Neodiprion lecontei: one gene and its partners. The protein of the gene in region 1 binds, or shares a complex with, the protein of each later gene. Links are inferred from orthologs where the notes say so. Each region holds a gene or a part of one and is shown in the gene's direction. Other genes may lie near its edges.

Region 1 (7,867 bases):
AACAAGAAACTCTGTGCCGATGACAGTTTGATCCTGATGCAGGAGGTAAGAATTGACTGATGATTTGTTTCAAAGGTATAGACAGCTGCCGCATAAACCTGACGATGCAATATTTTGAAAATTTCACAGAAGGATATTGCAATTCGTGAACTTGAAGAGCAGAACGGTCTTGCCCTGCAACACATCACTGAGCTCACGGTTCGTCATGCCGAGGCTGAGCCCTATATAAAGAAATTACTGTCGGACAAAAATATGGTACTGCCCTGTACCAACTATCTCAAGCCATCACCAACATCTAGTCGATGCCACAGCAGCACCAGTTCCATATCGACTAAAATGGCAACGAGGAAGAGCGAAAATGTGTTTTCAACATTGTGTCCATCGACAGAGAGTTTGGGATCCATTGTCAATATACAGGCAAACTTTGAGGGTTTGTTTTCACGTTTCGTTCTCATCTAATTCGCCTGTTTCAGTACAATTCGTTGCTTTCTTAGTAGTTTAAGAATATTTGAATTACAGATACAAGTTTACATGGAAAAGCTAAGAGGTGCACAGACCCTAGTACACGGCCTAAGAAACCAATCTCTCAGTGTAGCACTCAGTCCTCGTCGAGTGATAAATCCGGTCTAGCTAAAAAAAAATGAACAAACGTTCATTTTTATATAATCAAAGATAAAAATTATCGATATATACACCGTGGAACTACAAACTTCTTAAATGTATTCTTAAATTGAAAATAAATAAATAAATATACTTCAGCATTTAACAATATATTGGTGCATCGCTTTTATCCTCCTCCTCCATGAAACTGGGTCTAGTATAGATACTTGAGACTTTCACCATTGAGTTTTATTCATAGCTGGTAGCTCCATTGTGCTTTATGATTTTGATATTGGATAAGAATCGATCTTTCTTGACTTTTTTTGTCTCGTGGAACAGGGTCGAGATGAAAAAATCACAATGATATTGGAAAGAATTAAGTATCGGAAGGTTTGCAAGATGCTGCCGCGATTGTTAACGCGCATGATTTTAGTGGAAATAAGATTTCACGTTACTGTTGATAGCAGTTGGCTCCCACGACGTCCGTGATTTGCTCCGGTGTGTCCACTCTCAATCACTAAAAATGCACGTTGTCAGTTAGAATTTCAAACTTACTCGAAACCGCAAACACAGCAAGGATTACTTATATCGCGCGTACAAACTTGACTCACTCTTTATTATTCCAACCTTTTGGTTAACCATCTCAGACACTCGGGGAATTATGAACTCAATGTTTGTCACTGCTGGCTGATATTTACACACCATTATAGACGTATTATTACGTACACGGAACATTTACCATTAGCAAATCTTTCCGAACTCGGGGAAATGGAATCCGCGATACCTGCACAGCCACATCTGACAGTTAACCTGATATTCATTCGCACGTTTGAATAAAGGTTTATGTAGGTATATTCTGATCAATGCTAAGCCCGCTGTTCGTTCCAAAAGCTCACGAAATTTATTCGAAACAGCGCTGCGTTGAAGCCGTCACGGATAGTCGCCATTTGAAATTCTGCCGGCAACTGTTTTTTCGATTTTGAATTCATCGAATAGCGATGCATGTTGCCAACCCTACGGATGTTGAATGATGACCGCGAGTTCTTGAAGTCTGAAATATGTAATTCTAAAATGTTCAAAACCAAAATAATTAAATTGGGAAGTGTACGTTATGATTATTTAAAAAAGAACGAAATGTAATTATATTTGTTTTTTGCTTTGATTGTAACGTAAAATGACACCCGCAAACTGTACCAATCCAATACCAATCGAGCCTAATTCATCCTATTACACAGGGATTCTGTCATGCCGATCAGATAGTGCTGCACTCTGTCACAAGTTTAAATATTTACATGCGTACACAACGATTCATTATAACCTCAAATTTCATCAAACGATGTCGAGGTCCCCTGTCATTTCTGAAAATGTCAAAACGTTGGGGTAGCGATTATGTGGTCGCCGAGCACCGGGATTTGCAGGTAAGCCAAGCGACTCGCGTCGCCCCCACTAAAAAACTAACTCAAACTAACCACGGTTGCTCAAGATCTTTGTAATCGAGCTTCGCCCCAAACCTCAAATAATTAGCTTTCTCCACATGCACCAGGCCAATACTATGGCGGTTGACACAACCGGGAGCTTCGTTCTTCTGGCCGGGTGAGTTTCAATGCTTTCGACCAGATTCCTATAAAGCCTCTCAAATATACCGATTCATTGGCTCTGCAGGCGAAGATGCTTTGCCGTCAAGCACCTGGACGAAGGCACGGACACCCTGCGAAAATTCCAACGTCAGAGCAAGTACGAAGTTGGCTCTGCCGAATGGAATCCCAACTCTCAGAATTGTCACCTTTGCGCTATATCCGTAAGTAGAAAAAGCATCGATAAATAAGGAGAGGCTCATTGTTTTCTTTCTACAGAGTAACAACAGAGTCGAAATACTCAATTTTGTTGGTGGAGATGGACGTGATCTCACAACGACGCATAGCCTCAGAGCACATACGCGTGTTGTTAGTGACTTGAACTGGCATCCCACTGAGCCTGACATTCTCGCCTCGTGCAGCATAGACACATTCATACACATTTGGGACATTAGAGATCAGCGTAGGCCCTGCTTGTCGCTATCTGCTGTTGGTAAAAGTCCCAATTTTGTTTTTATGTTTCAACAATTGTTACATAATAGTTGTTTGATGAAAAATCTCATTTTAGCCGGAGCATCTCAGGTCAGATGGAACTGTCTGTCCCCACACATTGTGGCCACTGCGCATGATGGCGACATCAAAATATGGGACCAGAGGAAAGGGAATAGTCCGATGCAGTACATAGCTGCTCATTTAACTAAGGTATTAGTTTGGTTTTCTTTCCCAATTATTTTTGTGTGAATGCTTATAAACCGAGGACATTGAACAGGGGAAACTGTAACTTGTGTGGTGCTTGGTTTAAAATGTATAGCACGAACGTCCGAATGTTGTGAATTTTCACAATCGTTTGAACAATCTTCGTATTATTTACTGACTTGGTACATTTGGGATAAGTGGCCTCTTGTCTTTCAAGATACATGGCCTGGACTGGTGTCCTTTTCAACAAAATCAATTGGCGACTTCTAGTCAGGACTGTACAGTGAAAATATTTGATGTCAGTAATCCACGAAGAGCAGAAAGCATTTTGACGACAAGTGCACCTGTGTGGAGAGCCAGATACACGGTAAAATTTAATCATCTGTATTGCTAACTGTATCAAATAATTGCAAGAAAGTCGTGAAAGATTTTCAAAATCTCATTTACGTCTGCTTGTAGCCATTTGGGGAAGGTCTGGTTACAATAGTTGTGCCACAGCTCAGGCGAGGGGAAAATAGTCTGCTACTGTGGAACACCTCGAATCTTACAGCTCCAATTTACACGTTTATAGGGCACACTGACGTTGTGCTAGAGTTTCAGTGGAGGCATCAGAAAAAAGGTATTCCAAGAGGGGTTTTTGCAGTAAAATATTTGATTGCGCCGTATTAAATGATGTCAAAGGGCAACAATAACTTATTTTCCTATCGCAGCACCGAATGACTTTGAATTGATAACTTGGTCCAAAGATCAATGCCTGAGAATATTCAAAATCGATCCATTTCTACAAAAGGTAATCACTATAATCATCATATAATTCAGTTCATAACTCTGTATTGAGAATTCACAAAATCTAAGACTCATGAAACGACGATGTTGCTACTAAAAATTACTTATAACACAAATAAAATCAATCCTTGCACGTTTTAGCTATGCGGACACGATTTGGATGATGGAACATCTGTCTATACTCCGTACACAGAAGACAATAACCTGAGTGAGTGTATCGCAAGCTTCAAGTACGAAATTATGAGGAGAATCGCTATTGTATTTGCAATGACTGGCTAATAAAATTCTCAGGGACGTTACGTTCTATGCAACAGCTCGAGCTTCAAGATACACCGACCGACAGAGAAATGAATTTTGTCATGTCAAAAATTGACGGAGGTAAAATGGGCATAGAGTCGCTCACTTACTCAACAAGCGACAAAGATGTTTTATCGCCGACTCAGCCAAAAACGTTACAGCAAGAATTTTCATTGATCAATGTGAACATTCCAAACATTGAGGTAAATTTACTCGTGATTTTTGCATCGTTTCGATTATTTCCAGACTCACTTGTAATGTATTCTGTGTTTCGCATCTCAGGTGAACGCTATGGATGCAGAGCAACGAAGCTGTACGGTCACAGCGTCAAATAAAAATTACAATGTTATATTGAAAGTAAACTTTCCTGGTAATTACCCATACAATGCGTCACCGACCTTTCAATTCTGTCCTGGAACAACCATAGACAATACAGCGATGGCAAAGCTCTCGAAGGTACTGAAGCAGACCGCTCAACAACGAGTTAGGAAGAATCGATCCTGCTTAGAGCCCTGTTTAAGACAGCTGATCACAACTTTGGAACAGGTATTTCCTTTTGATTTGGTTGTCGAGTTCTCGATTTTTATCATTTGAAGATGATCAATTTCATTCTGCCTAAACAGATGTGCGTCAGCGACGAGACTGAGGGTAAACATCTGGGATACAGGATGCCACATAGTGCTAACTTTCTCAATACGACCGGTGCCATATTTCCAAACTACCAGGATACCTACATTCCTTTTCCGCGGACTTCAGGTGCTAAATTTTGCTGCGTAGGTAAGGAGTTCTCAAGCCAGGGTAAAAACAAGGGGTTAAACCCGTATTTTAATCTACACCAATCTTTTCTAGGAATACTAGTTTGTTTTGGCCGAACGCCGTACGCCAGAAGGCCGTCCATAAAGCCGGAAAGCGTAACGCCGCGAGCTCTCTCGGCGTTAGGATCGGGAGTCGGTAGCAGTAGTCATTTTCCCCACGTATATCCGGCTTATTCACAACCGAATGCAGCTGACAACATATCTATAAGCTCATTCTACTTTCACGAACGGGTAAACTTGTCATCATTTGTATATACTTACATAAAAACTTTGCCAGTAACTTGGAACTGTTTCTCTCGTGACGTCTCATCTGCAAATAGAGAGGGTCCAGACGTAGTTTGCACCCATCGACCAGGCTCCACTCGAAAACACCTAATAAAAATCATCCGATGGTTACAATCTATGACGCCTCCCCATTGTTCTTTGTTAACAAAGAACTCGCTGAAAAGTACATGTGAGTTTTTTATCATTTGTATTGAGTATTTGAATCACGAAACAATAAGAATAAAGCAACACCCCCACTGTAGCATCAATATTACAGACATTCCTGGAATGTGTCAGTATAATGCCGGAGTGGCAGCTTTGCTTGAAAGACCGGACCTTGTTCAAGCTTGGTGCCTAGCCGCACTCGTCATATCGCAGCCGATGCCCTCCAACCTCTCCTCAAACGATATCGAGACTCCGTGGCCCTTGCATCCATTTGGTCAAAACTTGATCCATTCTCTGTGAGTTCAGGATTCAAGATTAGGCAGACCCTTGATGATCAACTTTATTCGCTTTTCAGTATACAGCATTACGCCAGCCAGTCTGATATACAAATGGCAGGCATGCTGAGCTGCACATTTACTTATCGTTCTGAAAATCAAGATGTTGGGCAGGGACGTGCAGTGAGCAAGTCTGTAAACGTCAGTGTAAGTAAGACACAATATTGTTTTAAGTGCCAAGTAGACTATACAACGACTTGTGATGAAAAATTCAATTGGCAGGTAACTACTGTGTAAATTATCATCGTCGCCATTATAATTATTACGGTTGTTTTTATTATTATTATTGTCATTGCTATTTTTATGATGCATGCTTTGTGCATTGCTAACAAAGAAAATGGCTATCAAAATCTATAAATGAAGATTTTGTATTTTCACTTAGACAGGCATTCTCTGTCGTTTTCTTTTCTTTAATTTTGATTTGATCTGCCCTACCAGATTGCCAATGCCGCTACTATTGCTGCTCCCCTTGCTGCTGTTTGCGGTGCTTTCTTGATTCCTCTGTCCCTTTGCTTTTGCGTAGTGTATAACAATTTGTCTGCCGAGCATGCATTGCTTATCCAACTGACATTTTATTATCTCTGTTGTAGAGGCTTTCCACTGGGAAATGGTGGCAGAAGGTAAAGTATAAATATTATTCTTTAGCGTATCTATAGATTTGTATCAACGACAGCTTTTGGTTTGCAAATTACTCTTCTTTGGTTCTCGGAAATAAAAATTCATATCTTCCGCTTCGGTTATCACACCAGGGCTTACAGTATGTTGTGACTGATTAAAGTTTTCACCTGTGTGTGTGCGTGCGCGTGTGTTTTAGCAAATATTAAGCTAATGCAAAGAATCTATGCCTTGCCGAATTCGTCGACTTAGAGCTTCGATTAAACTAAGTTTTCTGCTTTTATTTGGGTACGTAGATACATTCTAGATGTAGTTTCCATTTCTCTCGGCAAATATCCCAAAAAAATTTCATGACAATTATATATCGACGGTGAAACATGATGTAACAAGAAGCGTTACCGTGACATAACTTGTAACTCATGTGTAACAAGTTATGCCCCACTCAAAGGTTTGTAGCTCTGATATGACATTTACGTAACATGTGGCACGCATTACGTAATAGCAATAATGTTTTATTCCTAATATTGCAAGGTATACTGATGTAACATTGATGATTGACTGCTACATCGCTGCTACCAGCCTCAATGTATGTATGCATGTACATTGGCGCTACATAACATGGTAATAGCCACTAAGGCACCCCCCACCTAGCAAGCATAGTTACTTTGAAGCAGTGTAACGGCAATGGGACGGGTTGTTACACTATGATAATTCGGTATTTTGATGCATATGTACGTCAGAGTTTGGTAGCGCATATTCGATAGGCTTGTAGAGTACTATAGGTTGCTGAAAAAAAAGGGCCTATGATGTTTTTGAAATTCCGCCAAAATAAAGGTACAGACATGCATACATGCATTTCGTTAAAATATGATACATGAGTTTGCATGCACCAAAGAATAATTAATACACCAATTGATAATATTTCATAGAGCTTGAAGCTTGCCAATAATTTGTTGCGTGTTCGCAGCTGTGGCACTCGTTAATTTTCTCTTACCCTTCGCTGTAATAAATGAATAAGTATTATACCTGTGTGTATAATAAATCTTCTACTCGTCATTCAATTAACGCTCAAACATGACAATTTTAGCCTGGCGGTTCACCGTATCACACAATACATCCTGCAGATACGACGCTTGAGGGATGGAATTTCCAAAATCTCAAACAACATAGGTCAAACTCATGGTCTGAATCTCTCGACGACCTTAAATTCGTTCAAGAAACATTGGGTGATCCCGTCCGAAACATTAGGTGACAATTTTCAATTATTAAAGAAGTAATGTCTTGTAGAGAAAGAAAACAATCGAAATTTCTCCCACTTTGGGACAAGGGTGAAACATCGTCATTCGAAAGCTAGCACGTACTTCTCTCTTTCAGGTTTCTTGATGAAAAAAACACCACCCTCTACGATAGCTATAAAAAAGCATATGCTGAAGTCCTGCATAGTTGGAGGCTCCTTGATGCCAGGGCACAGGTACTAAAACACGTCAGTGTACCACCGATCGATTCCCACAAGGCTGTAGAGTTTCAAATTGAATGTTATATCTGCAATAAATCTAGTCGTGGTCCACAGTGCAACAATTGCAGGCAGTTGGCATTTCAATGTGCCATATGTCACATATCCGTTAGAGGTACAGAATTAATTGTACAGCTTTCAGTTGTGACATTCACTCTGATATTCTATGAAAAAATCACCTAAACACAGTACTCATTGATATTTCAG
Region 2 (6,263 bases), on another chromosome or scaffold:
TCAGACTAATTTTTCCAATTAATCCGATTTTTATTTTTATTGGAAGCCCAAGTTGATACTAAAATTAAAAATTTGCGAGTCTTTAACGAAGTAATAGCTAAACAGATATGTTTGTTAAAATATTCACAAGAATATTTTATTGAAGTATAAATATCTGTCTCTACGTACAAGGGCTTCTGTTTTCAGCTTCAAATCTGTAAGGTATGCATCACCAGAAAATATGCCTACATTGAAATTTTCGGTATCTAGATCTTCGACATAATTTCCTAGAAAACGGTTCAGAAGTGCTGCAACTGCTCCTTCAAACATGTTGAAAATTCGTTTCAATATATGGTCCCGTTAATCTAAAATAGAAATCGTTTTCTACTTTGAATCTGTAAACTCTAGGGCTCTAGAATACCTTAGCAAAATGCATGTACGATATCAAACTTGAATGCTTTACCATTTCAACACTTTTACTATCCACCATAATGTGTTATAGGTTTATGAACACTTTGCAAATCATTACCAACATTCATGTTTATGTTCAGAATGTTTAAAAATAAAGTCACTCTTTAAGTAACCTACTTTTATTACAGCAAAGGTCATTTCTTAAAGATGGTATTTTGAAACTGAATTTAATGTTGATAATGCATGAACAATTGGGACAATTATTCTGAAATCTATTATACAAAGTTTTCTTCTCTCACATTCCAATGCCGGTCATAGATTTCTAACAATCGTCTTGCACATTTCCAAGAATTGAGTCAACTTATTAAATTGGTAAGCAGGCATAGAAGTAATGAATATTTTTAGATTTTTCATAATGGTTCTTGCAAATAACGATGTTGAACGAACTGTAAGGCGTAATAGAGTTATTAATATATTGAGCAGTGTCGTGTAACATATAAAATGAAAAAGTCTGATACGAAATATTGATCTACTTTTATTTTAGTTATAATGTCGTGCAAAAATTCATGTGACTTCGTTTTTCCATCTTGTACCATACTTTTAGTTGTTTTTTGAAACACAATTAGGAACCGAATAATTTCAACAACTTATAAATATTAAAAACAAAAAACGAACACTTTTAATTGGTATAATAACAATAAAAATATTAGATCTATTGATTTGAAAATGAATGATAACATTACTTTATTGTAATTTACTGTAATCATCGGTATAGGGTGGATTTTTGCGAAGGTATAAAATTTTGCAATTTTCGTTCTGCGTCGTCAGTTACTAAGAATACTTAATCATGAATATCTTAGAAGAATTGAAAGTTTATGACACCAGCTTCTAAACATAGTATGCTATACTAATTGTTGGATAATATGTCTAAAACATGATACAAGATAGATAGTGATGAGTTGACATAGAAGTCTTGAATTACAGAATGATGGTTTCTCATTTACAATTATTATTCAAATGTTGAAGAAGAGGATTGATAAAGTATTGAATGTAAGATGAGTAATCGCAGTGTCAGCATATCAGATTCGCATATGTATTATTCAAACTTACGAATTATCTGAATTCTTCTCCAGTTAATATTCGCAAAGTGTTAGCAGAAACAGAAAGCATCTGATACCTTGCTTCAGTAAGCTGTCAAATGCTGTCAAAGCAGACCGTTTCATTGGTTGATACGATTTGCGAATCGAATTGCGGATATAATTATTTGATTTCATTTTCTAAGTTCTGAACGACCGAACGCAGGCCACTGTGCATTTATCCAATTGCCCGATGCAGTAATTTTCACCTACCTGCGTGAATTAAACTAGAAATAAAGTAATTCTTCCCAGCCCCAGGCCATAACCTAACAAATTTCACACCTCGTCCAGGATGGTTTGAAAGATGTAAAGCGCAGCGGACCTCGGGAATTGTTACTTGAAGTATTGATTTTATTTTCATCCTTGTCTGCGATATAGAAAGTGCGTCGTTAAACAGCGCGTGGAAGGCATGACAGCTCGTTGTATTAGAGTTAAAGTTAGGTTAGGGTTAGGGTTATGTTAGGTAAGTATTATTGGGTTGGTAACAGTCTCTCGTCAATCCGAGGTTTGACATAATGACAGAAAATTTGGATCGTTAGTTTTTATTTGTCGAATTCAAATTCAAGAAACCTTGCAAGTGGTCTATACGCGTTTTTGCCATGTAACCCGATTCCTGATTTAAGTTATGATTTTAAGATAATACCAAGAGTCTGTAACCAATCTCTCATAACTTCTCTGGCATCTCGGAGCATTGGTTAGTTGGATTGAGCTTTTTGAGTTCACTCATAAGCTCATCGAGAAACAAGGAAATGGAGATTAATCCATTAAGCGTTATTCTAGTGAAGAGTGACAGTAAGGGCGATCGAATGTTATTCAGATATCCTCACGCCGCTAATCTTGAGAGAGATTCCAAACAGTTTACAAAGAGGAAGAATCCTTATGCGTTAACAATCAGTGAGGATTTATTACAAGTATATTCCTCATATTTATTCTTTAATATTACTGCACTGGAAAATCCCAAACTATCGCAAACAAGTCTTATACCAATATCATCTTTGATAAGACCACGACTCTGTTGCTTTATTTTCATGTAAATTATAATCAATTTTCATACAGTATGTTTCATACGATATGTCTACAATGTAAGAGGAGTTATACAAAACTATAAAGATTTTATTTGGTCATTGTCCCTTATTTACCTCCTATTAATTCAAGTATTACTATATTTTTATTTCTATCTTTTTTTTCTCACTTTTCTTACTTTTTGATGAAAATTCTTCCATACTGTACTCTTGTTTAAACACCAATGCCCCTTCTTTACTGTATTAAGCAGTGCTTACTCAAATGTATGTTCGCATGCTCTTTAATTGCCTTGATTTTTACCTTAACTTTACCATTTTTATTTGTTGAGTGAGCAAGTGGAATTCTTATTTCGTTTCACATTACTTTGATCGCATTACATATGATGTTGCAAAAATATTTAACAATTGATCAATTTTTTATGAAGCTGTAAATTTGGTAGGAGTAATTAACAAAATGACCGTAATCAATGTGGAGTATAATTATTATCTGGCGCATGTTTATTTTTCATTATTTAAATAATTTTCAGTCGACACCATTTCCAACATCCAATATAAGCAATGGCAATCTTACTGGCTTATCTGACGAAGTTTTGTCCACCCTCTTTGCTGTTAAACCCGAGCTTTGTGAATTAAAGTTCGAACTAAAAGTCAACAATGTACGCTTTGTTGGACACCCTACATTGCTTCCTTCTAGGGGACTAAAAGATGTCAATTCATCCATGCTCTTCAACATAGTATTCGCTTTGCAGGCTCAAGCGAATCACTCTGTTGTTAAGTGTTATTACGATCTCAGTAAAAGGTAACTTTGAGGATAAATTATTTGTATCTTCAAACATCTACTGAAACCTACAATTACCTTAGTGACTTATCAATTCGATTTTGAACATGATTCATCACCAGTAGTTAATAGCTTATATATTTCTTTTATTTTAAAAAACCATCATATTTTTTGGATGTTCCATTATACAGACTGGGAATAGCTTTGAGACATGAGGAAAAGAGATGCGGATTTCTTACTGACGAAATAAAAGTGATGGTTTCCACTCATGACGAAGTAGCTGCTCGGTAATTTTCTACTTCCACTTTTTATAAATTGTCATACTCTTAGATGTAATTTGTACACGGATGTTATAATTGAATATACGATCCAGATCAGAAGAGGAAAGTGAATCTGATGAATCCCCTTATGAACTTATATTGCAAAGAAGTTCTCTTGCTCGAGATTTGAAGTCCGTTTTCAATAGCCTGAGTACATCAGGGGTAATAAATATCATGGTTAATAAATGGATACAAGTTAGCTTTTGTCTACCTCAAAAAGTTCATCAATCTCACAAAAAAGGATTCATTATGAACCCAGAAATAATTGACAGGTAATTCATTATGATCATCATCATTTAATTCTCTGCAAATAATTTGTAAATAATTTTCAGCAATGAATGATTGTGAATTATTATCATATTACGATAAATTATGATAACTAAATTCTGTGACATCGCAGTACTACTAATAATCAAATCATTCGCGTTTTAAATGAAATTATTTACTTCAGATGCCTCGAAAGTTTACGACCGTATCATGGCTTACTACTTTTGATAGAGCCTTTAGATTTGTTAGATTCGCTTCCTGCTGACTCGGCTCCAGCGCTAGTACGTCTTATACAAATGTACAGCCCACTCAAAAGTCTTCAAACATTAGCTGCAGATTCAGATCTCAGCTTGGCACAGGTGAGCCATAATGATAATTTTGATTGAAAATACTTCTGCCTTTTTTCAAAAATATTTCTCAATAATACTGTATCAATTACTGAAACAATTGAATGAATATTGAGGATTAGGTGCATATTCAATGGGATTTCTTTTTCACTACATTCAGGGTTTGATAATGTTTACATAGTAGTTTTTTTAATTACTAACAAGTATCACCTTTGCCAAGGTATTCCAACTGACTGGACATTTAGTGTATTGGGCAAAGGCTACTATTATCTATCCCTTGTGTGAAAGCAACGTATATGTCGTAGCTCCAGATGCTGTCCTCACAGCTCAATTATTGGATGCATTTTCAGAACAATTTCCAGGATTGTGTCTACTACAGGTATTGTCACAGAATACATTACAAACATGTAATGGTAATGCAAAAAAAAAGTATTTACGGTAGAGGATTCCGAAGTTTCTAAAAATCTTATTGAGATATCCTTTCGCATCTCCATTATTAAGACGAGTTAGATTTAACGAAAAGAAACAGATTCTGCATGTAAGCGATAAAACATTGACCTTTGCTTCTTAAACTAGCTTTTGGACACGTATAATTTTCTGTTATTTACTCTGTCATACATAACAAACTTGAATATTTCTGTTTGTTCATAGGTGATCAGTGATTTTTCTTTACCGACATCCATTAGTCAAAAATTGAACCCTCTGAGCCAACCACAACAACAGACTCAATTAGTGAAAATAATAATTTGGTTATTGAGAAATCATTTGTTACTTCAGCTGCATACTTACATTCAATATATGCCAACGCTGCATGGTTGCCAAAAAGTGGTAATATATGAACTTTGAAAAAGTGATAAACACCTGAATCACTTGCGAAATAAAGAGATGAGTATTCGATTCTATCTTGCAGACAAGCATAACAGAAGATGATTCTGGGCCAAACGAGTCTATGAAAAATCAACACAGCTGGGAAGGCACTGACGCATCTGCCGGTACACCAGGAGAAAGCGATACCGGGGCTTCTCCTGCCTTACGTGGGACAAGTGGAATTTTTGAGTATCAATCAGATGGTTTCTCAATTCCTTCGGAGGATATGATTTTACTAGATAAATTATGTAGACTTGGGTATCTAAAAGGCGGTCATCATCTCGAGGAAATTATGTATCTTGAAAATATTCGAAGATCGCAATTGTTACAAATATTGGACAAATTCAGAGACGTTCTCATAACTTGTGAAACAGAGGATCCTGCAATTGCACTTTTCTATTCTCATTTCGATTGCTAATCAAATTTTGGTCATTGTTAATCGAGATGAAAAATGCGGAGGTTTATTATACCTTGCAGAGACTGGCTGGTAATGTTGTATCTTCCGTAAAAAAATTCATATTTATTTTGACACATTTATGCCGTATGCGTTTTACCTTCAGTTTGAACAGGTACAATGCTAAGAGTGTTTTAATATAAGTGCTACTTTCAAATTATACGTGTTAATTACTATTTAAAATACCTCACGATTTAACGCACGACATAAAGTTACTTTATTATTAACTTTGAAGTTCAGTTCCATCTCATATCATATCTCATTTTACGTCAAACGCTTTAGACTTCAAGTAACGTAAACGGAAGATAACGATATCAAAATAACGGTAGGAATTTAGTTGTAACAATGCACCACTGACCGAATAATTGAGCACGAATGTTCAATTCCAACGTGCCAAATGCTTTCACTGCTAAATCGAAGTAGCAGTTCTTACAGTCACATTTTTTTTTTTTTTTTTTCTATCTTCACTGAGAATCAATCCAAATGGCGAAATTTTATAAAGATAATTACAATATTAATATGGACAGTGCGCAGGTTTTGAGGAATGTTTCGCGCCAGAATTCATAATCTTGTGCCGCTGATCTGCAGTAGTGACGTCATTTACCCAAAGATATGCCGGGTCTCATTGCCTGCCACGCGCACAACTCCCGCAGGTAAGATAACCTGTCGGTGTTTCGACATC
Region 3 (7,265 bases), on another chromosome or scaffold:
TCCACAATTATATTGTGCAACAAGATAGGATCATTTGTGCTGTGAAACTATTGATTACTTGCAGTCTATAACAAAAATAGATTATGTTTCAACTTCGTTATTAGCAACTGACAATCACACAATGATTTTGAGGAAATTGGATCATAAGGTCTAAAAGAAATTTATCAACCCTTTTTTGGCCTTTCTTAACACAAAATTATGGGAAAGTGAAAGTGAAAACAAAATTTATACCCTAAAAGATCAAGTAAACAATATCCACAGCTACTTGATTGTTACTTTAAAATATTCCAAACTATTTCCCAGCCGTCAGAAAGCTGGGGTTCATTGCTGGATGGAAAGTTTTCTTATCATGATTGGTACTACTATCATGTTATTCAGAAAAGGACTGCAACGAAGTGTTTGTTACTCTATGCTGACCAACACTCTCAAAAATGTCATTTCAGATAAAGTTCCCGCCAACGTATTCATGTTTGGCATTATAAAAATCGATACAAAACAGTTTCTTTCGATTGTTAAGTTGAATAGTAACCTATTTACATTACACAGTGTTATACATTCGTTCCAAATGACTGAAATCAACTGAACCTTGTACTTCTTCAAATCTAATTAAAGTTTGAATGATAGCCTGATAAGGGGCTGAAGAAATCACCCACATACCTCGTCGTACATGAACTGTAGAGTCAGGGCGGACTTTCCAACACCTCCGCTACCTACCATTATGACCTTATGAAGGGCCTGTGTGGCGCCTGGTTTTTTAGACATTTTTGTATGTGGAATTTATATCTGAAATATTAATATCAGAATGTAAATGACTGAAATTTGCACATTTAATAATATGTAATTGTTGATTGATTACGCGCATGTAGAACAGAATTTCTCATTATCTGGAGGAAAAAACTCAATACTTTATAAGCTACATGAACTACGCCTCCATTACTATAATAGAGATCTGAAAGATATGGAAATCCTATTGTCAGCATGGGAACCATGGGAGTAAGGTGAACAAATGTTTACGTTTCTCGCATGCACTCAACACTCATTATTGTTGTTGTGTTTGATAATTTTTCTACTAATAAATAAAGACTTTACATTTATGTAAAATATGGGAATTTTCTTAATGTTGATTAATTAGGACACTGAAAATTTTCCTGTCTTCTCCTCTGAGATGTAAATGGAAATTTTACCAATTTTATCGCTGTCAATTGTGTAATATTTAACTATGAATATATGTAAAAACAATCAAACCACAACTACGATATTACGACATACTGTTAAATAATGGTCATCTATTAGAAAGTTTACAAATAATACATTGTTGATACGCGTATCTAATCGACTTTAATCTTGACGGAAAAATGAAACATTGTAATGAGGTTTAGTTGTAACAATGTGACATTGTTGTTTGAAAATAGTTACTGCATCAAATTTGTTGAAACCATTATTACGCATTTAACACCAATTAGTACAGACTTGGAAATTACTTCGATCTCACAATAAAACATCAAGATTAAGGGCGTATTCGTAGGATGAATAACCAAAAGGCGTTGCCGCGCTGTCGGGTGCTAGTTACCAGAGGAAGTCAATATTCGTGTTTCATATATGGCAATGTTTCCAATTTATGAAAGTGTACCGTTATTTTACGGATGCAGGTTTAATCGGCGAATCTCTTGGGGGTATGATTGCAAAAATAACAACAGAAAAATGATTAATTACCTTCAAAAATCGGTCAATCGCAAAGCCCGACGTATCGAACGCTCGCATCCGTGATCCGTCACGCGCTGGTTCTTTATCGAGCCGTTAAAGCGCCAACACATGGCGCTGCTGAGTGTTGAAAGTCGTCTGCTTCTGTCACTCGATCTGTCACCGACTCAGTTTCGGTGCTTTCCCAAAATTCAAAGCTATTGATTATCCCACAGAATATGCTCACAGTTAACTACTTTCAGATGTTGTGGTGAAGTAAAATATTTGATTCAAATTTTCTTCACCGCTCTTCACTAGCAGAATTATCACTTTTCGAAAACGACTTTTCGCTTGCGAAATAGTTTCGCGCACGCGCAGATCGCTATTTGGATGCGCTAATGGACAAATACGGCGCAACAAATTGCGTTGAGGCTATGTTGTCCCGAAATCGGTAGATTCACTGTGATTGTTTTTTTACGCTATTTATCGGATTGTTCAAACGTATAATGGAACCAATTTTGGACGTGCAATAGCCGCCACAATTTACTGTCGGAAAACAAATGTTCCGCCGGTGATAGAGGTTTAGTTTTTACATCATTAATTATCGGAGAAACATATTTTACTAATGTAAACAACACGACCTGGTAGTACACGGATTTTAAATTAACCTACAATATTATTTGACAATGAGTAGCGTTAAGTTAGAAGTTCAGTGGTCATCGATACACCCAAATAAATTCATTACTTGGGGCACCGAAATATGTTTATACGAAGTTACCCAAATCAAAGATAGTGTCAGGCCTTCTTGTGAGTAGAGACCCAAAGCCTATTACAAAACACGTATTGTTGTTATTTCTTGAATATCGCTTTGTTGGGTGTTTATATTTTATTAACAAAAGAATTATTTGCAGGTATTAAGATCTCTGACTCTACAGTCGCCCATTTATTGGCAACGAACACAAACCATCACTATGTTAAATGCATTGATATTTACACCCAACCTGAGCCTGACATTCTATTGGCAGTTGGGCAAGCGAATGGTAAAGTTGTACTAACTACTTTTGGCCCAACGGCATTCGACTCTCTTGGACTTACTGGCAAGGAACTTGGTAAATGAAATTCACCAATAATTGTTCTGGAAGTTGTATTCATTTTCTTCTCTTTTTAAGTTATACGGTATAATATTTTAGCTTGCTTTTTTCTTCTAATCATATCCGTGATCACTTTGCTAGCTCCGAGGCATGCAAGGCAATGCAATACGGTTGCATGGAATCCGGTAGACCCAAATTTAATAATTTGTGGCTTGGATAAGCACAGAACGGATTCTTCCGTTTTATTATGGGATGTCCTGAAAAGTCCAACTGGATCGCATCACCACAGTAACATGCAGGCAGAATCTGTCAGACCTATAGCAGAGGCTGGAGTCTCTGAAACAGCACATTCCCTCGCTTGGTTCCTTAACGAACCAAGATGTTTGGTTGTTGGAATCAATAACAAACATTTAAAGATTATTGATTTTCGAGGTAAGACATTATGGTACTGGTGGTTATTAATTAATTTATTGCCAATGAAGGATAATTGGAACTTCTGCCTTTTATTTGTGTTGATTCAAACATCTTTTTGTATTAATCATCTGTTTAGATTGTGTGAAGGTAGTGAACTCAACGCCAACAAAAGCAGTGTACAGTTTGTCAGTAGATCCTCATAACAATTATCACTTAGTTTCCCATATTGAAAATCAAATTCTTATATGGGACACTCGTTACTTTGAAAAACCGATATTAACCCTACCGCAGAGCAGACAAGTGACTAAAGTACTATGGTGTCCTTCAAGGCATAACCTGCTGGGATCTCTGCAGAAAGACTCTGGTACAGTGAGATTTATCATACTTAAATTGCTAAATGAAACAAAGTGGTTCAACTTGTTCATTAATGGTGAAATGTATTTTCATTAATCATTGACCACACAGGATCTTTGCATCTTCACGATGTACAGCATTGTGGGCTTGGTGGCGGCGAGGAAACAGAGCCAGGCGCTTTAGAAAGAACTGTCGCCCCACCATGGTCTAGTCCTACAAGTTTTTCATGGCATCCGACTCACGCGAATAGATTGTTGGCTATATCGCAACAAGGTGTGTGCAGTTGATTTTTTTTTGTTTTCGTATCTCTTACGTATTACCATGGAGTACGAGGGGACGAATTTTCCATACATGGTCGCAAATATAAGTCTATTGTACAGTTTCGTTTTCTTTCAAGCTAGGTGTAATGCTCGATTTAGAACTAATGCAGCTTATAATTATACATCATTACTATTCCTAAGTTATTTGCATATTTCAGGTTTGACGGACTACACTGTTTTTGAAAGAATTACTATCAACTGGTCAACTAAGTCATATCTAGCATGGAACCATGCTTCAAAATCATTCAAATACATTTATAGCACCGACAACATATACAAATCCTTGAACGATATTTCACTGCAAACGAAAAGTCGAGCCATGCGAGACTACGGCCTTCTGGTTAGTATAGGATGATTGTAACATGGACTTGTTAAAACTACAAATCTTCATATAGAACGATTTAAGAGAATTAATTCTGATATATTTAAAATTGTAATAATTAATTATATTTTTCACTAAGGCCGAACTATCGCAAAATGGAGAGCTAGCTGAAAATGAGACCCTGAAAAATTTATGGCAATGGCTGTATTTGAGTCGTTCTTTAGTGGAAGATGGAACAATATGTAGTCCAGACAATAAGCACCCAGGTGTCAGGTAAACTGATATTTTCTTTGGCTTATAGCCGTACTGTTAGATGCTCTGATAATTACTTTGTAACTCTCCATAGAACTGTTCTGAAACTTGATGGACAGCCGACTTCTACTAACGGTTTCATTAAGTCTGAATTAGTGCTTCGACTGTGGGCTGACATTGGGTCAAATCACAGTGCTAAAATATACAGGTAAAGAAAAACCAGGTGTCATAATTCCGAAAATATGAATTATGTGTTTGCTCGATACACTTTAAGCTTATGAAGTACAAAAACAAAAATATTCTTTATCAACGAAATGATTCATCGAACAATATCCTCTATTATGCTAACAATAAGTATCTTTGATTTGCCAAAAATAAATGTTTATCACAGGTCACCTGACCGAGATAAAGCACTTCAATTGTGTGGTTGGAGATTTGATAAAGAAACGAACGCGCCTTATAATAATGCATTTTTGGAAAGACTAGAGAGGGAAGGAGCTTATCCTAGAGCTGCAGCCATCTCTGTTTTCAATCTTGGACTGAGGCAAGCCATAGAAATATTGAATAGAGGGGCGGACAAAATGTCACTAGCAACAAATTTAAATATCGTTGCTATGGCTTTGTCAGGCTTCTCTGAAGATAGAAATAGTATGTGGCGGGAGCTTTGCTTAAAATCTAGATCTCAATTAACTGACCCATATCTCAGAGCAACATTTGCATTCCTCACTGCTGACAATGATTCGTATGAAAATGTTTTGGTGAGTAAAGTAATTTTTACGATTTATTTGTTAGATGACCGTAGAATCTTTTATGATGAATTACTGAATATTTCTCACTGCAAAAATGAAATGGATAGATGTGGAAAAGTTTCATTCGTCTGTAATAATCGTCACTAATCTATGTTTTCAGAATGAGAATGGAATGGCTGTTGAGGATAGAGTGGCATTTGCGCTCATGTTTCTATCTGATAGTAAATTACATGAATATTTCAAAAAATTGACTCAAAAATTAACTGATGACGGTAACTTAGCCGGGATTCTGATTACTGGTTAGTAATTAAACGAGTGTTGAAAATTAATTTCAAAAAACTAAATTTAAAATGCTTTGAACTGTATGTGCCACTTCAGGGGCTAGTTCAGACGGGATACAGTTACTAAATAGGTACTTAGAAATCACTGGTGATGTCCAAAGTTGCAGCCTAATCGCCATTCGAGCTCTGTCACCGAAATTGCTTCAGGACAATCAAGTTCAAGTTTGGATTGCAAGGTAGTCTATCTTGTAGTTAGTAACACGAAGAAAATACGACTTTTTGTTAGAGAATAATGAATCGCCTAACCAGAATCAACTGTTCTGCAGCTATAGAACGCTTTTGGATGCTTGGAAAATGTGGAATCAAAGAGCACATTTTGATATAGCGATGCGAACTTCAACGAATGAGAAACCTCCACAACAAGTATACATATCTTGCAATTTCTGTGGCAAAAGTATTTCGGCTTATATGCAGGGGTTAAGCAGAGCTAGAGGACCATTTGCCAGGCTTGGGAGTACGTCCAACAAATTGAAGGTAAAAGTTTAGTTCACAATTTCGGTGTTTGTGTAATCCCCGTAAATTTCTTGCAAAAACCAACGTGGCTTGTGATTTCTTTGTAGATGTCTTCGTGTCCTAGCTGTCGCAAACCTCTACCCCGCTGTGCGATCTGTCTCATGCACATGGGTACAGCCAGTGGTTTACAAACAGGAGGGACCACACCAAATAGAGGGGAGGAGGATAGTAAACTAACGGAATTTAGTAGTTGGTTTACTTGGTGTCAAACGTGCAGACATGGTGGACACGCCAACCACATCACGCACTGGTTTAGGTGAATTTTTACAATGTAAATTTAGTTGAATTGTTGTACATTGAAAAAATCAGTTTATTCATCAAAATCGGTGAGTGGCACACGTGGTTCCAATCATTTATTACATCGAACAAAATGCATGGAGTGGAATTTTAGAGAGAAAGTTTTTTTTGCATTGCTCTAAACAGACAAATTATATTTCAGAGAGCATTCGGAATGCCCTGTAACATCTTGTACGTGCAGATGCTTTTCACTAGATGCATCTTGCAAGATCGGAGTTGGGGTTGTATAATCTTTCTACCATAATTTTAAATTGTAATAAACGATTATTTAATAGTATTTCGTTCACCAATTATACTTATTTCTTTCACTTAATTATCATTTAGAACATTTCTAAGCCTTAAAGATTGAGCTTCAACTTCAGCGAAGTATACTGAAAAAAGTCAGAATATTCGAATGTGTTGAAGGTGATATACTTGACAGCGAAAAAGAAAATTTATATTAGTAGGGCGTGAGAAAGTTAAAATTTCATAAAATGGTATTCGTTTCAGACATTTTCCATTTGTTGCTACCCAATGTATTGGAGAGTAAGATGAGGTCATTGTACTGTTCCGAGTCTGAAAAAATTTCAACTTATATTCTTTTTTTCAAGTTATGAACAACTAGAGAATTTCCATTGTACTTTTTCAATGCCAAAAGATAAAATAACGTCAAGCAAAATCATATACAATAGCATAGACATACATCAGGAGTAGATTCTAAGAAATGATGTATCTGTGATAATTTACCAAATTTTTCCGTCATCTCATTTGGGAAGCGAACGAAGTTGCTACAGGAGATGGATGACTTAGACTGTACAGTACCATGAACTTCGATGTAACCTTCTAGGTGGCTGTCGATGGGTTCCGAAAGAGAAACTGTGATAATCATATTGTCACTGGTTTTTAACTCCATACTTGTTCCGCTAGGATTTATCTGAAATAAGAGATACCAA
Region 4 (3,685 bases), on another chromosome or scaffold:
AATTGGAGAGAGAAAGGGCATACAAGGTCAGTGAGTTGCGACGCTATTATTCAGTCGAGTCTGGAAAAGAAGAAGCTAGGAGTTAAGGAAAGACTGTTACCGAAAATTGACGGACTTGCTGAGGTTTCGAAAGACAGAGCTTGTGGCAGCAGAGAAAATCTCGATCCGCAAGAAGAGGAGACGATCGATCCTGATGAATCGCTCAGAAGATTAGAGGCAAAATTTGGAGCCAATGCTGCGCCTGTTAAAACATTTCAAACCACGGACTTACTCGCTAAAGCCCAAGAACTTCTGCGATTGGTTGACGCCACTCTGAAGAAAAGCAATTCAATAGCCAGCAGGTTGAATGAATCTGGCACTTTACTGTACAGTGAAGATAAGCCGGATCATTCTCGAAATTTAGCTCACGGTGGGGAGTTTCAGGCCCTAAATGTAACAGAAATCGATAAACTCAGTCAAGGTAACAGCATAGATGGTGTTCACGGTATTGGATCTGGAAATATAGATCTGAAAGCAAAAAATGAAAGATCAGACGAAGCTTTGGCAAATTCTAAGTCTAATTTTGTTAAGAACTTCAAAGTTGAGGACGAGTTAGTGAAAGAATCGTCAAAACTCAATGGCTCTCATAGAGTGATTGAGGAAACTATGAATTCTGGCCAATTGCAATCGATCGTTAACGAGGACAGCGGTATTGAAATGGATGACGAACTCTGGAAGCTTCCCGAAGGAACCATCCGATATTGGGCAGCTGAAATACTCCTGGCACTGGAATCTCTGCACCAGCAGGGTGTCATAGTCGGAAATTTAAAACCAGATAATATATTATTAGGCAGCGGAGGCCATGTCGCGATGACTTACATTGTCCCAAAACGAAGCTTCGAACTCTTGCAGCTAAAGAAGCCCTACTCCGCCCCTGAACTTTGTATCTTCTCACCAACAATTCCACCCTCCACTGCTGCCGATGTTTGGAGCTACGGAGTCCTGCTCTACGAGCTCTTCACTGGAATTGTATGTCCAATTATCATAGTTTAAATTGATATTCGTTGAGTTTATGTTTTCTGTTTTCAGAAATTCCAAACTAAACATCCTGGACCATATCACTCGCATTCTATTCTCAACATTCCTGAAGAACTATCAGCGAACGTGAAATCATTGATCTCTAATGTGAGTTTGAAGAGTTTAAATACTTAATTAGTTCTCAAAATAAATGAAGCAGTGCATTCAAGTCAATGAATTCCTTTGTATATGATTGTCTTACTCTCCTTGTTCAGGTATTGCGATACAAGCCAGAGGAACGTTTATCTATTCCCGAAATCAAAGAGTCTTCATTCTTCTCTGGTATTGATTGGACCGCCTGGGCTAACTCTAGTTTTACTTAGTCGTAATATACCTATTTTTTTCCTTCTACAGTACGCCATATCATGTATTTGTCAATCTCCAGTCAGTGTATAACTAGTTCAAAAATAACGAACAAAATAATATTTATCACAATCGACATAATTAAAAGTATATAATATGTATTCTACTTCAAATTTTGAACCATCCCGCCGATAGATAAAATAACATAACAAATGGAAAGGCACGTGGGGCACGTGTTGTCTTTTTACGAAAAATCCCTAGCACTTCGTGGTGACTCTGATGCTTTTCGTTGCCTGATGTTGGTGCCTTTTAGCGCGTGTCCACTTCATCAGATTCCACGTATGTCAGTTGGATCAGTTGTGTGGTTATTCTTCAATCGCTGCAACGGACAATTTGCGACAACAAAAAATAGTGAAAGAAACAATATAAATAATAACTCGTTGCGGGTAAACGAAGAGATAATTGAAAATGGTCTCCGTTCTAAACACGGTGGACACGGGCCACGAGGACATGATACACGATGCCGAAATGGACTATTACGGATTGAGGTTAGCTACCTGCTCAAGTGACAATTCGGTGAAAATATTCGATCTGAAGAACGGCACGCAAACCCTCGCTGCAGATTTGAAAGGCCACGTCGGTCCTGTTTGGCAAGTTGCCTGGGCTCATCCGAAGTTCGGCAACATCTTGGCATCTTGCAGTTACGACAGGTAAATTTGGTGATCTCAATACTTTTGCTCCACGGTTTTCCGACCTTATGCAAAAATAAGCAAAATCTAAACTGTACTTATCTCGCGTTAGGAAAGTCATAATTTGGAAGGAGCTTGGTGAGTGGACCAAGATATATGAACATGCGTCCCACGACTCGTCTGTGAACTCCGTTGCATGGGCGCCGCACGAGTTCGGACTAATATTAGCATGCGGCAGCTCTGACGGCTCGATCTCCATACTTTCTAACAATGGTGACACCTGGGATGCCCAGAAAATTCCAAACGCACACACCATCGGGTGCAATGCGGTCAGTTGGTGCCCAGCCATTGAACCTGGATACGACGCTACCGCGCCTCACCCTCGCAGTGGACCTGTTAAGCGACTTGCGACTGGAGGATGCGATAATTTGGTCAAAATATGGAGGGAGGATAACGAAAGATGGATCGAGGAAAATAAACTCGAGGCTCACAGCGACTGGGTAAGTAATAACTCGTTTCAAGTATCACCAAATTTGGACATCTGGTCTCTTCCCTTTGTCTAGGGCAAGAAAAGAATTTTCATTACTTTTTCTATTCCCAGTGAAACATTTGTGTCCAGAGGCTAATCACCTATTCGCAATCGTGATCGATTTGAAATCATGTAAGATCAATAGAAAAGAGTTGAATTCATATCAGAAATTATTCAGCATTAGCAAAACAAAGATGCTGTAGATAAAATTAGTGGATTCACCAGCCATTTTCTTTTCCTTGCAACATTAAATTAGGTCAGAGATGTGGCCTGGGCGCCAGCAGTTGGACCACCGAGAGCGGCACTGGCTTCCTGTTCTCAGGATCGCAGGGTGGTGGTGTGGACGTCGACAGATTGCACAAGTTGGACGTCGACTGTCCTGAACGTGTTTGAGGACGTTATATGGAACGTCAGTTGGTCTCTGACTGGTGGGATTCTGGCAGTGAGCGGAGGTGACAACAAAGTATCTCTGTGGCGTGAAAATTCCGAAGGCCAATGGGCATGCATTTCGGAGCTCAATAAGGGTCAGGGAAATTTGAACAATCCAGAACAACGAGCATTGTGAAATTAGCATAATAGAACTGAAGAGAAAAATCAGATTATCATTATTATTGTGTATAAAACGTATTTTCCTCTTCCTCTCTTTTTCTTTCGCTTTTTGTGCAAAGGGGAAAAAAAAAAAAAAAAAAAAACGAAACTTGACTTTATAACTACAAACTGTACTATAGGCGGTGAACTTTTTTAAAAAGTTTATTAAATTTTTTTTTCAATCGATTCTTCCAATAATTTAATAAATCCTTGATTTACACTCGTAAAACGCAGATGCAAATCGAACATTAGTTTGCGATTTCTCTGCAATTTTGGCGGACACCCAATATTTAATTTATAACTTGCAGTAAACAGACAATCGATATTTACAAATTTGACAGAAATCGATCGTTTTTCAAAATGTAAAAACAACCACAAATAAAAAAAACATTTGTACACAGGTGCGAGCAGCAAAAGCAATACGAACAAAGACGTGTCGCACATTGGGGGGAAAAAAAGATAAAGAAACGGGCAATATGTGTCTGCTGCCGATTGGAGATTGTAGAAAATTGTGAAAAAA

What was found.
Region 2: GATOR complex protein WDR59 (region 1) and GATOR complex protein NPRL3 share a complex: the UniProt entries of both Drosophila melanogaster proteins name them as parts of the GATOR complex. The link is inferred for Neodiprion lecontei from reciprocal best matches to the Drosophila melanogaster genes Wdr59 and Nprl3.
Region 3: GATOR complex protein WDR59 (region 1) and GATOR complex protein MIOS share a complex: the UniProt entries of both Drosophila melanogaster proteins name them as parts of the GATOR complex. The link is inferred for Neodiprion lecontei from reciprocal best matches to the Drosophila melanogaster genes Wdr59 and mio.
Region 4: GATOR complex protein WDR59 (region 1) and protein SEC13 homolog share a complex: the UniProt entries of both Drosophila melanogaster proteins name them as parts of the GATOR complex. The link is inferred for Neodiprion lecontei from reciprocal best matches to the Drosophila melanogaster genes Wdr59 and Sec13.

What each region holds. Positions count from the first base shown.
Region 1 is NC_060264.1:23,548,023-23,555,889, forward strand, and holds the start of GATOR complex protein WDR59, read left to right. Parts: upstream 1-1,867; 5' UTR 1,868-1,892; coding exon 1,893-2,018; intron 2,019-2,143; coding exon 2,144-2,193; intron 2,194-2,262; coding exon 2,263-2,398; intron 2,399-2,453; coding exon 2,454-2,667; intron 2,668-2,742; coding exon 2,743-2,876; intron 2,877-3,087; coding exon 3,088-3,237; intron 3,238-3,329; coding exon 3,330-3,489; intron 3,490-3,580; coding exon 3,581-3,660; intron 3,661-3,797; coding exon 3,798-3,864; intron 3,865-3,947; coding exon 3,948-4,156; intron 4,157-4,235; coding exon 4,236-4,499; intron 4,500-4,576; coding exon 4,577-4,730; intron 4,731-4,802; coding exon 4,803-4,999; intron 5,000-5,088; coding exon 5,089-5,222; intron 5,223-5,295; coding exon 5,296-5,493; intron 5,494-5,552; coding exon 5,553-5,679; intron 5,680-6,122; coding exon 6,123-6,152; intron 6,153-6,678; coding exon of another isoform or gene 6,679-6,687; exon of another isoform or gene 6,688-6,733; intron 6,734-7,234; coding exon 7,235-7,395; and 3 more. Other genes in the region: coiled-coil domain-containing protein 39, read left to right, coding at 1-45, 130-430, 520-644. UniProt on the Drosophila melanogaster protein: A component of the GATOR complex, which functions as a regulator of the amino acid-sensing branch of the mTORC1 signaling pathway.
Region 2 is NC_060263.1:27,315,846-27,322,108, reverse strand, and holds GATOR complex protein NPRL3, read left to right. Parts: upstream 1-1,996; 5' UTR 1,997-2,275; coding exon 2,276-2,437; intron 2,438-3,075; coding exon 3,076-3,347; intron 3,348-3,517; coding exon 3,518-3,613; intron 3,614-3,699; coding exon 3,700-3,918; intron 3,919-4,097; coding exon 4,098-4,272; intron 4,273-4,480; coding exon 4,481-4,639; intron 4,640-4,911; coding exon 4,912-5,088; intron 5,089-5,170; coding exon 5,171-5,545; 3' UTR 5,546-5,741; downstream 5,742-6,263. Other genes in the region: vacuolar protein sorting-associated protein 13C, read right to left, coding at 1-58, 169-309. UniProt on the Drosophila melanogaster protein: An essential component of the GATOR subcomplex GATOR1 which functions as an inhibitor of the amino acid-sensing branch of the TORC1 signaling pathway.
Region 3 is NC_060261.1:40,160,263-40,167,527, forward strand, and holds GATOR complex protein MIOS, read left to right. Parts: upstream 1-1,996; 5' UTR 1,997-2,366; coding exon 2,367-2,487; intron 2,488-2,591; coding exon 2,592-2,789; intron 2,790-2,912; coding exon 2,913-3,203; intron 3,204-3,321; coding exon 3,322-3,549; intron 3,550-3,650; coding exon 3,651-3,812; intron 3,813-4,017; coding exon 4,018-4,199; intron 4,200-4,320; coding exon 4,321-4,454; intron 4,455-4,527; coding exon 4,528-4,641; intron 4,642-4,824; coding exon 4,825-5,191; intron 5,192-5,342; coding exon 5,343-5,481; intron 5,482-5,560; coding exon 5,561-5,699; intron 5,700-5,789; coding exon 5,790-5,997; intron 5,998-6,083; coding exon 6,084-6,292; intron 6,293-6,328; exon of another isoform or gene 6,329-6,475; coding exon 6,476-6,563; 3' UTR 6,564-6,747; downstream 6,748-7,265. Other genes in the region: ras-related protein Ral-a, read right to left, coding at 658-762; replication protein A 14 kDa subunit, read right to left, coding at 6,800-6,888, 7,060-7,246. UniProt on the Drosophila melanogaster protein: An essential component of the GATOR subcomplex GATOR2 which functions as an activator of the amino acid-sensing branch of the mTORC1 signaling pathway.
Region 4 is NC_060266.1:1,254,107-1,257,791, reverse strand, and holds protein SEC13 homolog, read left to right. Parts: upstream 1-1,673; 5' UTR 1,674-1,827; coding exon 1,828-2,069; intron 2,070-2,160; coding exon 2,161-2,548; intron 2,549-2,833; coding exon 2,834-3,142; 3' UTR 3,143-3,185; downstream 3,186-3,685. Other genes in the region: ribosomal protein S6 kinase delta-1, read left to right, coding at 1-1,008, 1,069-1,164, 1,272-1,379. UniProt on the Drosophila melanogaster protein: Functions as a component of the nuclear pore complex (NPC) and the COPII coat. At the endoplasmic reticulum, SEC13 is involved in the biogenesis of COPII-coated vesicles.